Linked DNA regions of Ovis aries. The protein of the gene in region 2 interacts with the protein of the main gene of each other region in a biochemical or structural test. Links are inferred from orthologs where the notes say so. Each region holds a gene or a part of one and is shown on either strand. Other genes may lie near its edges.

Region 1 (3,791 bases), on a different chromosome or scaffold from region 2:
GTGCCACCAAAAAAGCGCCACATAATTATCTTATACCTACAAAGTCCAAAAGAAGGGCAAAATGCAATGGTCAATGTTATTCCATTCAGTCTTTGTTATACTGCATCCTAAAGGATAGAGGCTCTGAGTTACGGAAGATATTTTCAAAAATCTAAAAAGACTTTTAAAAAGTTACTTTCCTTTATAAAACTATTTAATTAAGTAGATTTTTATAACCCAAACTCAAATACATTCAGATTTGTTTCTCTTTTCTTTTTAATTTTCTACAACTTCATAATAAATGCCAGTATAAGATGCTACACCTTACCAGAAAACCAGATGAATTATCTAGCAGACACCTGAGTCGGCAGATGAAGCACCTCTCCATAAACGAAGAGTTCTCTGGAGGAATCTGGTCTGGGTCATAATACATGGCTGGCTGGGAGAGTCCATTAGCTTCTATAGAAATAAATAGCAACGCAAAGTTACTTTCTGTTTTGCTAAAAATTAAGTATTTGGGCTTCTCAGGTAGTCCTAGTGCTAAAGAACCCACCTGCCAGGGCAAGAGACATAAAAGACATGTGTTCGGTCCCTGGGTTGGGAAGATTCCCTGAGGGAGGGCCTGGCAACCCACTTCAGTATTCTTGCCTGGAGAATCCCATGGACCGAAGAGCCAGGCAGGCTACAGTCCACGAGGTCACAAAGAGTCAGAAACAACTGAGCAACTTAGCACAGCACAGCACAAGTGTCTGAATAGCTGAAATCTGTGTTCATTTCTAAACCAAAGCTATATTCTGATTATTAAAAAAAATCACTTTCAGAAGAGAAGCTAGTGAAAAGAAATTAAAACTTATTGAATAATACTTTTACTACATAGAACTTTACCTATTCAGCTGCTTTTATTTCTACTGAGCTATCACTGTCAACAATTTCTATATTTTCTAACACCTTTTTTCTCCTTTTTAACATTTTTACATATGTATGAAGACACTGCTTTTGTTGAAAAAAGTATTTTTTAATTCCTCCATCTGCCAGTTTGCTTTTATATTTGGTGCATTTTAAACCCAGAACAATCTATACACACTCCAGAATTAACCTTGTACATTCCATCCCCTCTTTCACAATAATGTAAGAATTATTTTTATACACTATATTACTGAGTATATGGCTATACTTTATCACTTGGAATTCATCAATGGCTGTCATCTCTCGAGGTCCTCCTTAGGTCATCAGGCTTCTTGTGACCTGGTTCTGGCCCACGGCTAGAGATTCATGTCTTTCCCCTTCTTCCTCATCTTCACTGTGGAGTTCCATGCCCCTAAAGATTCTCTGCCTCCTTTCAGAGAATTCAATTCCCAACACTACCTTTTGGTAAACATTCTTACCATCAATTCTTTGTCCGGAGTCTGGACACTGTTGGGGATTTAATGCCCAGTGCAGCTGGCGCTGAAATTCAGCTCGGTCTTCGGTATGGATCAGTTCATACACACTCTGATGGATGACATCAGACTAAAGAAAAAAGAAACAAAGAAATTAACAAGTAGTGCTGATTTTTAAATGAACGTCCGTGGTGCCTCAGTGGTAAATAATCTGCCTACCAATGCAGGCGACACAGGAGATGTGGGTTCAATCCCCAGACTGCGAAGATCCTCTGGAGGAGGAAATGGCAACCCACCCCACTATTCTTGCCTGGAGAATCCCAAGGACAGAGGAGCCTAGCAGGCTACAGTCCATAGGGTTGCAGGGTCGGATGTGACTGAGTGACGGAGCACGCATACACTGATTTTTAAAAATGTGGTTTATTAATTTCAAAACCTAGTTGCTCGATTACAGGGTGCTTTTTAGTGGTGATGTATGCAAATCAAACAATTGCAACGCTCTCCTGGAATTAAAAACAAGAAAAGCTAGAACGACACAAGCACTACAGCTGACAAATCAAAGGTTATTTGTCATCGCTTCCCTATGTGAACCACTTTTTAGTCAAATAAGTCACGTTCCTGTTCCTTAACTGCAACACGTGAGGTTCTGCTGATTTTTATTTATTGATCTTTTAAAATAGAGCCTCTTATACAGAGTGAAGTAAGTCAGAAAGAGAAACACAAGTATCATATATTAACACATATATATGGAATCTAGAAAAACAGTACTGATGAACCTAGTAGAGAATGAACTTGCGGACACAGCAGGGGAAGGTGCAGAAGGGACGAACTGAGAGAAGAGCACTGATACATACATGCTATCATGTGCAGAACCGGCAGTGGGGAGTTGCTACACACCACAGGGAGCCCAGCCTGGCGCTCTGTGATGACCTAGAGGGCTGGGGAGAGGGGAGGGAGGCTTACGAGGAAGGGGGTACATATATATAAAATTATGACGGATTTGCATTGTTGTACAGCAGAAACCACACAACATTGTAGGACAATTTTCCACCAATTAAATTTTTAAAAAAAATCTTCCTTTGACAAAACTTGTCTGAACATTCAGTTAAATTTGACTTCCCTCAGCTTGAAGTATTACATATTTCCTTCCCTGCTCTCTAACAATTTTCCTGACATGAAATTTTGACTTCTAGTAGATTCCCTAAGATTAAGGGATATTGCCTTTACAAAGGTCAGAGTCTTTCCTCCACCTCTTGCTTCTCAGCATTTACTACAGTGCTGAGACCTTAGCCTTTCCACCATTAGTGTTCTAACTTTTTTATTGCAACTCACAGCAAGAAATATTTTCCATCCCTTGTGTGTGTTTGTTTGTGCGCATATAGACATGGAAAAAAGTTCCACAGAGAGCTTTTATGTGTGACAATATTGTGTTTCCTATTTTATTTGAAGCAGCTAAAAAGAATGACTGGTGATCCTCTGTATCAATTTCATCAACCACTCATGAGTCATGACCTGCAGTTTTAGAAATGGTGCCATAAACCACCATCAATGTCAGATATAAATGTTTTCTTAAAGAATATCCAGGTTAGGTATAGATATGAAGAAAAAAAAAACAGATTGGGAAATAGCTAAGCTTTTTTATTTCTTAACTGTTATGAATCAATCAAATAATAATTAAGCTAGTTATGTAATGAAGTTTCTAACAGGTTTTTCCATGGACATTAATACATTTCCTTTAAAATTCAAAAATACTTAGGTCTGGTGTCAGGAGCCAGATTCCACCTCTTTAGCTATCCGGACTTGAACCTTCCTATGAACCTTTTCTTCTAACATGAAGTCATCTCTGTGCCATTCATTACACAACTGCCAGAGTTATCTTATGAAATATAGATTGGAGCACATGCATTCCCTTCAACAAAAGTATTTAGTGGCTTCTATAGTGTGTATGACATAATTTAAACTTCAGGCCATATAACAGTGAAGACAGTGTTATTCGACATCAGTCTTGGCATCACCTGTTGAGCCTGTTAGAAATAAAATACATGGGCTCCACTATGACATACTGAATTAGATTATATGGGACTGACACTCATCAATTTAATGACGTTTTTTCAGTGATTCTTAAGAACATTAGAAATTAAGAACTACTGATATGTAACAGTAGCGAGCATTCAAGGGTACTTACAAACTGTTCCCAAATCATATTGGATGTTTTCGCCCCTCAAATACACAGAACACCTTATGAATCCATATTCACCATATACTTAGTAACATTAAACCAGACACACTTACCTCCTTCAAGGCCTTCCAGCCTACTACCTAGAGTATGGGTAGCTCTTCTCTGCATTCCCTCCACAACTGTCCACTCATCTGGAGCCCACAATCTCTTCAGATTAAATACCATTTCCTTCAGGAAAACTTTTATAATCCACA
Region 2 (4,271 bases):
TAAGTGCTCTTCAGCCGGGAACCAACACCCTCCCTCCAAAAAAAATCATATATGTATAAAATAACGATAAGAAGAATACGAAAGGGGTGCCTCCTCCTCCTCTCTCTCTCTCTCTCTCTCTTTTTTTTTAAGTTTAGCCCTCACTCTTCTGCAGGAATGGAGTAAAAGAGAGGAGGAGGGAGAAAAAGGAGAAAAAGAAGAATACGGGGAAACAACTAATAGAATATGTAAGAAAAGAGAAAGGGGAGAGAGGAGAGAGAAAGAGAGATTGAGAGAGAGAGAGAGGCGGAGGAGAGAGAGAGAGGAGAGAGAGAGAGAGAGAAGAGAGAGAGACCCCAAAATTGAATGCGTTTAAACGGGAGGACTCGCAGAGCAGTGTTTCCGAAAGGGGGATCTGTGCGAATGTCTGTATATAGTGAACTTTGACACTACTATTGAAACTGACACGTTTCTATGGAGATCGCTGCCTTATATGGAGCTCGTGTCAAGGAGCCAAGAGAAGGGCTGCTGGCAACTGATAATCAAAGGCGACTGACTGGTCAGAGCCCTGAATCGGGGGGAGAGAAAATGGGAGGCTAAGGTTAGCCAAGCCTCCTGCACGCCATTGGTTGGAGAGCCCCTCCCCCCTCCTCTTTTTCTTTCTTTCTTTTTTTTTTCTTTCCCCTCCCTCTCAGCTACCTACTGACGGGGATGGCGAGGGGAGGAGGAAAGAAAGTGTGTGTGTGGGGGGGTGTGCTTCTGACAAGCGCAATTTACATTGAGATCGCCCTGCGCTGCTATTTACTCTGAGACCTGATTAGTATGGGTCGTCTATGGTCACACACACACACACACACACGCACACACACACACATACACCAACACCAGAGGGGGAAGGGACGGCGAGGGGAAGAATGCCTTGCAATGGGTAAAAAAAGAGAATCAGGCATTATTTTGTTTTCTTCTGAAAAGTTTTTAAATTTAGCTTTTATGAGCATGAAGACGATCATTGGAAATGTTAGGAAAATTTTAAATGGGAATTAAAACTCTTACCGTTCTAACGAGTCCTGAAAAATATTCTGGGTTTGTATTGTTTTGTGTTTTCACATACAAGCACAGCCCTAGAGTAGATTCTGCTCATTTTATATTCCTTTAAGAAACAAAGTAGGGACTTGCTGGCTTTTTTTCTCCCCCACCTTGATCCAACGTATATTTTGGTTTTAAAATGAAAGGTTCAATTATGACAAAAAGCACTCCTGGAATTCGCAGAAATTGCCCCCCAAATCAGTCCGAATCAATGGTTCCTCTTCATCCCAAAGGTGATGTTTAAAATAAACTCCCCCCCCCCCGATTTTTCCTTTTTTTCCTTCCCCTTTTTGATATCCTCAGGCTGTTTTAACCTCCAAAGAACGCTCCAATAATTGTTAATAAAAGAGTAGTAAGTTCTCATATTGCTGCGGGGGGGGGGGGCGGTCAGTGCGGGCCGAGTCCGAGTCCCAGGAAAAGGGGGAAAAGGGTGAGAGAGAAGGGATGAAGATGGGGAAGGGAGGTGGGGATGAGGAGGGTGGGGGGGGCGAGAGAGGGAAGAAAGGACGGGGAGAGAGAGAGAGAGATAGGGGAAGAGGGAGGGGGCAGAGAGAGGGAAAGAGGGGAGAGACCCCCGGTTCCCAAAGGCGATTGGTCGCCAGAGGAGGCCCGGGCGGGAGGAGCGGGTCCCGCCGCGAGGCCTGCAGGAATCGCTGGCTCCGGCTGCCACCTAGCGGACGGGAGCCGCGTCCCGGAGACGCGCGGTCGGGTCCCCTCCTCCTCCCCGCCTCCTCCTCCCGGCACGCAGCCCTGTGCCTTTTCTGCAAACCAAGACACAGCACTTTGAAAATTCTTTCAATGGATTTTTTTTTTTCCCTCCTCCTTCTTCCTTGAAAGATCGTACTGAGGGAAAATGATACTTCTATTAGTTACATATTCTCCAATCGCACACTCGCATCTTTCCCCCCCACCCCACCACCTCCTCGTTCTGCGATCGCTCCCCTAGGCAGGCTCAGGCGGGCGCGCAGCGGCGCCGAGTGACAAAGCCGCCGCCCGCAGCCGCCGGGGGGTGCGGAGCTGCGCGCCTGCCTGCCGCCCCTCGACTCTGGAGAGCGTCAAAGTTGTCTCAGCTCCAGCACCCCCGAGCCTCCACACGCCCTCAGGTGAAGGTGGGAGTAAAAAAAAAGGCCACGCTGTTATTGCCGGAGGTAGGGTTTGTGTGTTTTAATACTCGTTCTCCCTTTAAATGTCATCAGGGAGGGGGTTTGGGGGAAGCGCTGCCCCTTCGGGGTGCGTTTTGCGCTTCCCGGTCTCTCTCCAGTCCTACTGAGAGTCAGGAACCTGGCGACCGCTTAGTGTCGAGCGACGATGCGAAAGAGCAGAATAAAGGCTTTCCTGTGTCTTGCCCCCCCGCCCCGCTGCCCCGCAGCCCCTCCAGTTCGAATAATGAAGGGACACAGTCCATGCACTCTGCAAGCAGCCGCCCCATTGTACGCTTCAGGGGAGGCGACGGGGGGCCAGCGAGAGCTCCTTGCCCTTTCTCGTCTCCCCAAATAATCGCGCCGAAGTCTCCTGGTCAGTTAAAAGGTGAAACGAGAACACGATTAAAAGAACAAAAAAAAAAAAAAAAAAAAAAGGAAGGAAAGAGGAAAAAAAAGAAGGAAAGAAGGAAGCAAAAGAATGAGTTTTCTCATATGAATTCTAAATGTTCCTACTCATAGAGTACAAAGGCAGGCAGTCGAGGGCAGAGGAAGCAGGCAGAGAGGGAGACCGGGAGAAGGAAAAGAGAACTTGGAAAGAGACGGAGCGAGTGCAAGAGGCAGCGCGAAGCGAGCGCCAGGGAACCGGAGGCTCCCCGCGCCTGGACGCCCTGCTCTCGGGCCCGGCCGCCCTCGGACCCAGGACCGGAAGTCTTGGGCGCCAGAAGCCAGAGCCGGCCCATCTCTGCCGCACCAGGCAAGTAAGGCGATGATTATCGTTTCTTTTGAACTCGGGGTGGTTGTTGCAACGCGGACAGGCCGGGAGGCAGCGATTGCTCGCACGGGTTCCGCAGGCCGGGGGGCGGGGGCGGTGCCCTCGGTCTAGCCAGAGGGGAGGGTCGAGAAGAACTTATCGCGGGGGGGCCTGCTCCGGAGCCGCCCTCCCCCCGGCCTCTGTCCCGCGGCGGCGTGGAGAACAGGGATCGCTGCCCGCGGGGCCGCCCCGGAGCTGAGGATCGCGCCCCACCGAGCATCGGCCCAGATTCAAAACTGATTGCCCTCCCATCTCCATTTGCCACCCTCCTCCCCACCAGCGGGAAGAGGCTGCGGAGCCTCTTGGAGGAGGGGGGGCAGACGGAGGGTCCACAGGTTGGGCAATCCGCGCCGCCGCCCCTCAACCCCCGCCCGCCCCAAACCCCCTTGGCGGGTGCCAAGCCGGAGCCGCTGTGGAGTCGGCTCGTAGCCCGCGCCTTGCCCGGCTGCAGCCAGGCCCGGGTGAGCTCGGCTCCCGCTGCCCACCTGCGGACGCCGTTTGCAACGGGATCCCCCTAATGTAACGCGATCGATGGCTGACTGTTTGATGTGGGTGAGAGCGTCAGCGGATTAAAAGGGACCCCCAAGCCGCTCTCCCGAGCGGAGAACCCGCGGCGGCGGCGGCGGCGAGAGAGCCCGAGATCTGCAGCCAGCCCAGCAACCAGGGGACGGGGCCGGGGGCGGGGGCGGGGGCGGGGGCGGGGAGGGGTCACTTCCCCCGGGGGTGAGGACTGAGCCCGAGTGCATGAAAGGAAGAGCCGCAATTAAAACCGACCAGCGAGCTCTCCGCGCAGGGCAGGGGCGCGCGTTTGCGTCAGAGGGCGCGCAGGGCGGGCGCGAGGGGGCGGGAGGAGCCGACGCCGGGGGCCGCGCCCGAGGGCTGGGTGGGCGCGGGAAGGAGCCCGCGGAGCTGCCTTGGCCTTCCCTTGGCCGGGCGGGCTAGGGGCTAAGGCGGGGCTGGAGGACGAGCGGCGGCTCCCCGAGAGCCGTGGGGGCCCATACACCCTCTCTAAGGGGCTTCTTCCTGCCGGCCCCCCTACCCTGAGCTTCCAAACTTGGAAGAGGCCCAGGGGGGATCCGGCGTGCCCCGGGGGTGCTGGGAAAGAAGTGGAGGCCTCGAGAGGCTTCAGGCGAAGCCTCCTGCCTCTCCGGAAGGAAGGGAGGGAGGGGTGCGCCCCCGCCGCCCCCGGCCCCCCCCCCCCACGGCGGCCTCAGTTACGGAAAGGGGGTCGGGCGGCTGTTGGAGATGGTGCT
Region 3 (3,791 bases), on a different chromosome or scaffold from region 2:
AGAAGAAATAAACAAGGCAACCGTCAGTACCACTAGTCTTAGTGGCTGATCTTAGTCTCAGATAGAGATTCCTCCCTGGAACAGTGACTGATAATTTTGAGAAGTTTCCAATCTCCAGGTCTTTGGTCAGTCTGCACCTGGCATTTCCTGCCAAATGGATTTATTACCTTGCCAATCATAGTAGACAAATCTCCATCACTCAGAAGAGGATTCTGAGAATCTCCAACTCGAGATGGATCTTTTGTTGCTTTATCATTGCTGAAAGTTCTCCACTCAGATCCTACATCGATAACTCGGTCACCTAAGAATATAAATGGAAATCTGAATTGTCTCGTCAAGATAGGATTTATTTAACACAGCCTAGTGCCCAACTTATTTCTTTTATTCCCAGAAAATCTCAACACAAACATCAGGCTTCAGCTTAAGTATCTTGTCTTCAGACTTTTATCTTAAAGTATTCCTATTGTGACAGTTCTATAATAACCCTCTTTAAACATTATGCTATGATTAGCTGTATTTTAACTCCTGGAATAAAGAAGTAGACAAAATAAAGACAAAAATAAAGTTAATCAAGTGAGAAAAAGATAAAGTAACAATGAAGAATCAAGATTTGAAAAAAAAAGAATAAAGATTTGAACAAAACGTGCAACAGGCACAGAAATAAAAACCAGAAAACACTGTTCATGATGTTATTAATATACAGTTTAAAGAAATTACAAAGTTTTCATGGGCAATGCTCTGCAAAGAACTAAGCCTAAGGGGATACTTTAGTAACTATTTGAAAATATTGAAAATATTTGGGGGTCAAATAATTCATACAGAATAAACTTAAGCCTAGAATCAGTAAGCAAAAAGGTAGGTAAACTTTTATTTTTACACAAAGAAGCAGTGGCTAAAAACGCCAGGCCAAGAAACCAGACAGGTAGATTTGGTGTAGATTACTGCTTTGAGGGGAATGCTCAACAGCTGGTAATACCTCTACCACAGACAAGCGTTAACAAGAACACCTGCATTTGCCAGTCACTGTGCCCTTTGTAAATGTTATTTTTCAATCCTTAAAGCTTTATAAAAATAGGTATCACTTTTATTGCCACATTAAAAATAAAATTAATTTGCCTAACATCACACAACTAGAACTGAAATGAGAATGGGATTCCAGAATCTGTTCTATACTGCATTTATAAAACATTAGCTTTTCACCAATGTGATAAAATTAAAAGCAGGAACCAGGCCATTTTCATCTGTGCCTATATATAGCAAACAGAAAGGAATGGAAGAAATAAGTTATCTCAGTAGTTAAAAAAAAGTTGATATTGACAGTCAATTAATATAATGGTTAACAGTATGGACTCTATCAGTTGCTGTTTAGCCTTGGACAAACTTCCTCATTTCTACAGTAGTGCAATGATTCAGCTTTAAATTTCCCCAATTACCTTATTTTAAATAAATTAATACAGTTTCAATCCATATGAAGTGCTTAAAAACCAGTTCAAAGTAAGTTGCTTGATATTAGCTATTTAATGCTATAAAAATAAGATGACATTCTGACAGTTTGTTATTAATTCTGAATAAGAAGAGCACCAGTTGTAAAACATTAACCTCCATACTAGACAAGTATCAGAGTGCTCTGCTGCAGTATTTGGTATGTAGGACAGCAAAGGAGGTGGGGAGAGAACAGAGGAACTCAATGCAGACTACTGAACTTTTTATATATGGTAAACTAAAATGCTTATTGGAGAAGGCAATGGCACCCCACTCCAGTACTCTTGCCTGGAAAATCCCATGGACGGAGGAGCCTGGTAGGCTGCAGTCCATGGGGTCACTAAGAGTTATTAAACAGAGTAGAGTGATCTGACCTTAGGGTTTTAGTTTAGAAAACAAGTAAATACATAACAGAATCATTCCTGATGATTTGGGGCAGACTTTTTCTTCTTTTGAATACTCAAATCACTTAGGAATAACCAGATCTCACTTGGACTACCACATGTCCATGTCATAAGACAAGTGCGATAGAGATAGGAACACCACTTGCCACACCTTAGGCAGTGAAAATGGCCAAGGAAAGCAGAAGCTAAATCAGGTAAGGCAACTTCTGTGGATCAGAGATTCAGCAGGCGGCCCAAAATAAGGAGAAAAAGTTACATTAATGGGATGGTCAAGATGCATTTCTCTGTTTCCTCCTAATAAGGGCAAACATCACTAAACATGAGAAGCAATTCTAATTATGTAAATTAATAATGAGTTTTAAAACTTACCTGACATTAATGTAAAATCTGTAACTGTGCAGAGTTTTACTACAATACTAAGCAAGGCCCATGTCTCAGAGAGACTACTCTAAAGAGACTGATTTTTGTTCCTTTTACAGAAGAGTAGCTGCTTACAAGAAACAGTTATATAAGCAAATTAAAATTACCTGTATTCCCAACACCCAAAGATAGCCACTGTCAATACTTTGGCATATATTTTCTCTTCCATTCACCTGTATACATACTTTTTTTGTGAGATTAAAATTATAGTGTCTATTTCATTACAAGCTCTTTTCACTAAATTTCTAATCAAAACACCAAAACAAAACTTTTAGACATAGTTTAGCCCTTTCAATAGTATCCACTCCTCAAAGTGTTGCCAGTCTCCATTCTTCATATTTTCAACGGAAGAAAAGTGAATCTAACTTTACTAATCAGTAAAATAAAACCACACAACAAAAACTACTGCAGCCTTCAAATCTAGATTTACTTAAAAATTTAAGTAAAAAAAATCAAATGCTATCATTAACTTTCAACACTTTAATTAACACAATGGATGTATGAAGAGACTACTTTCCTTATCTTTACTAGCATCTTTTCAGTCTCTCTGGAACACTAAAGATACAGTACTAGTTTGCTAGTAGTATGCTTCACTTCATAGCATTTTCCTTTTGACCAGAAATTAACTTACCATGAGTTTCTTTTGTGGTTGCTTTTACTGCCTCAAAAAAGTTGGATTAGGAGAGGAAAAAAAAAAGTTGGCCTAGGATAGTATAAATAGAAAGCCCAGAACTGGGTAGTGATGTAATTTTTCCACATACGTGGGGATGGTCTACATGACTCATTCAACAATCTGTGGTTTGTGCTCAGAGTCATTCCCTCTTTTTATACTTTACTGCTCAAAACATAGCATTTATAGAAAATAAAATTTCCAAAATAACTCAAATAGCACATCATGAAGCTACAACTAGACCATCAGATTATCTGCATGAGTAATAAGAAATACAGCAGATCATTCAGAAAAAAAGTCAGAACACATAAAAGATCTTCTTGAAGCACATCTAAATGCGGTCGCACTTTTTAACGTTGCTCTGGAAGGAAACTGCATTAGAGTCTTTTCAGGGAGTAGTGTACAAGGCAGCCGTACTGTTTAGGTATAGTCAACCTCTGACAAGCAGAAGCCCGATAATTAGCACATAAGTGCATAACATACGACCTCACATAGCCTTTTACTGTTCTACAAACAGAGAAACAAGCCAACTTTTAAGTTCCTTTTTAAACCACACCCTGATTGTTATAAAATCAACAACAGATAAAAAGTCTATATATAAAATTTAACAGCAAAATCATAGCACTACTACAATATATATAATAGCACTATTCCTCCCTCCATCTATATTATGTGATCTCTTAACACTCTGATAAGTTCCCATCCAAAAAGGTAGAGATTCAATATGTATACACACATGCACAGTTCTCAATCCACATTATCAGAAAGGTGTCTAGAGAGTATTAACTAAGACATTTTACTATATTCTAAAGCAG

What was found.
Region 1: the proteins of NR2F1 (region 2) and AHR form a complex in vitro, tested with the Homo sapiens proteins (2 studies listed by BioGRID). The link is inferred for Ovis aries from reciprocal best matches to the Homo sapiens genes NR2F1 and AHR.
Region 3: the proteins of NR2F1 (region 2) and GTF2B form a complex in vitro, tested with the Homo sapiens proteins (2 studies listed by BioGRID and IntAct). The link is inferred for Ovis aries from reciprocal best matches to the Homo sapiens genes NR2F1 and GTF2B.

What each region holds. Positions count from the first base shown.
Region 1 is NC_056057.1:26,815,084-26,818,874, reverse strand, and holds part of AHR (aryl hydrocarbon receptor), read right to left. Parts: intron 1,489-3,791; coding exon 1,365-1,488; intron 439-1,364; coding exon 308-438; intron 1-307. UniProt on the Homo sapiens protein: Ligand-activated transcription factor that enables cells to adapt to changing conditions by sensing compounds from the environment, diet, microbiome and cellular metabolism, and which plays important roles in development, immunity and cancer.
Region 2 is NC_056058.1:90,688,349-90,692,619, reverse strand, and holds the start of NR2F1 (COUP transcription factor 1), read right to left. Parts: upstream 2,920-4,271; 5' UTR 1-2,919. UniProt on the Homo sapiens protein: Coup (chicken ovalbumin upstream promoter) transcription factor binds to the ovalbumin promoter and, in conjunction with another protein (S300-II) stimulates initiation of transcription. Binds to both direct repeats and palindromes of the 5'-AGGTCA-3' motif.
Region 3 is NC_056054.1:66,102,697-66,106,487, forward strand, and holds part of GTF2B (transcription initiation factor IIB), read right to left. Parts: intron 302-3,791; coding exon 168-301; intron 1-167. UniProt on the Homo sapiens protein: General transcription factor that plays a role in transcription initiation by RNA polymerase II (Pol II). Involved in the pre-initiation complex (PIC) formation and Pol II recruitment at promoter DNA.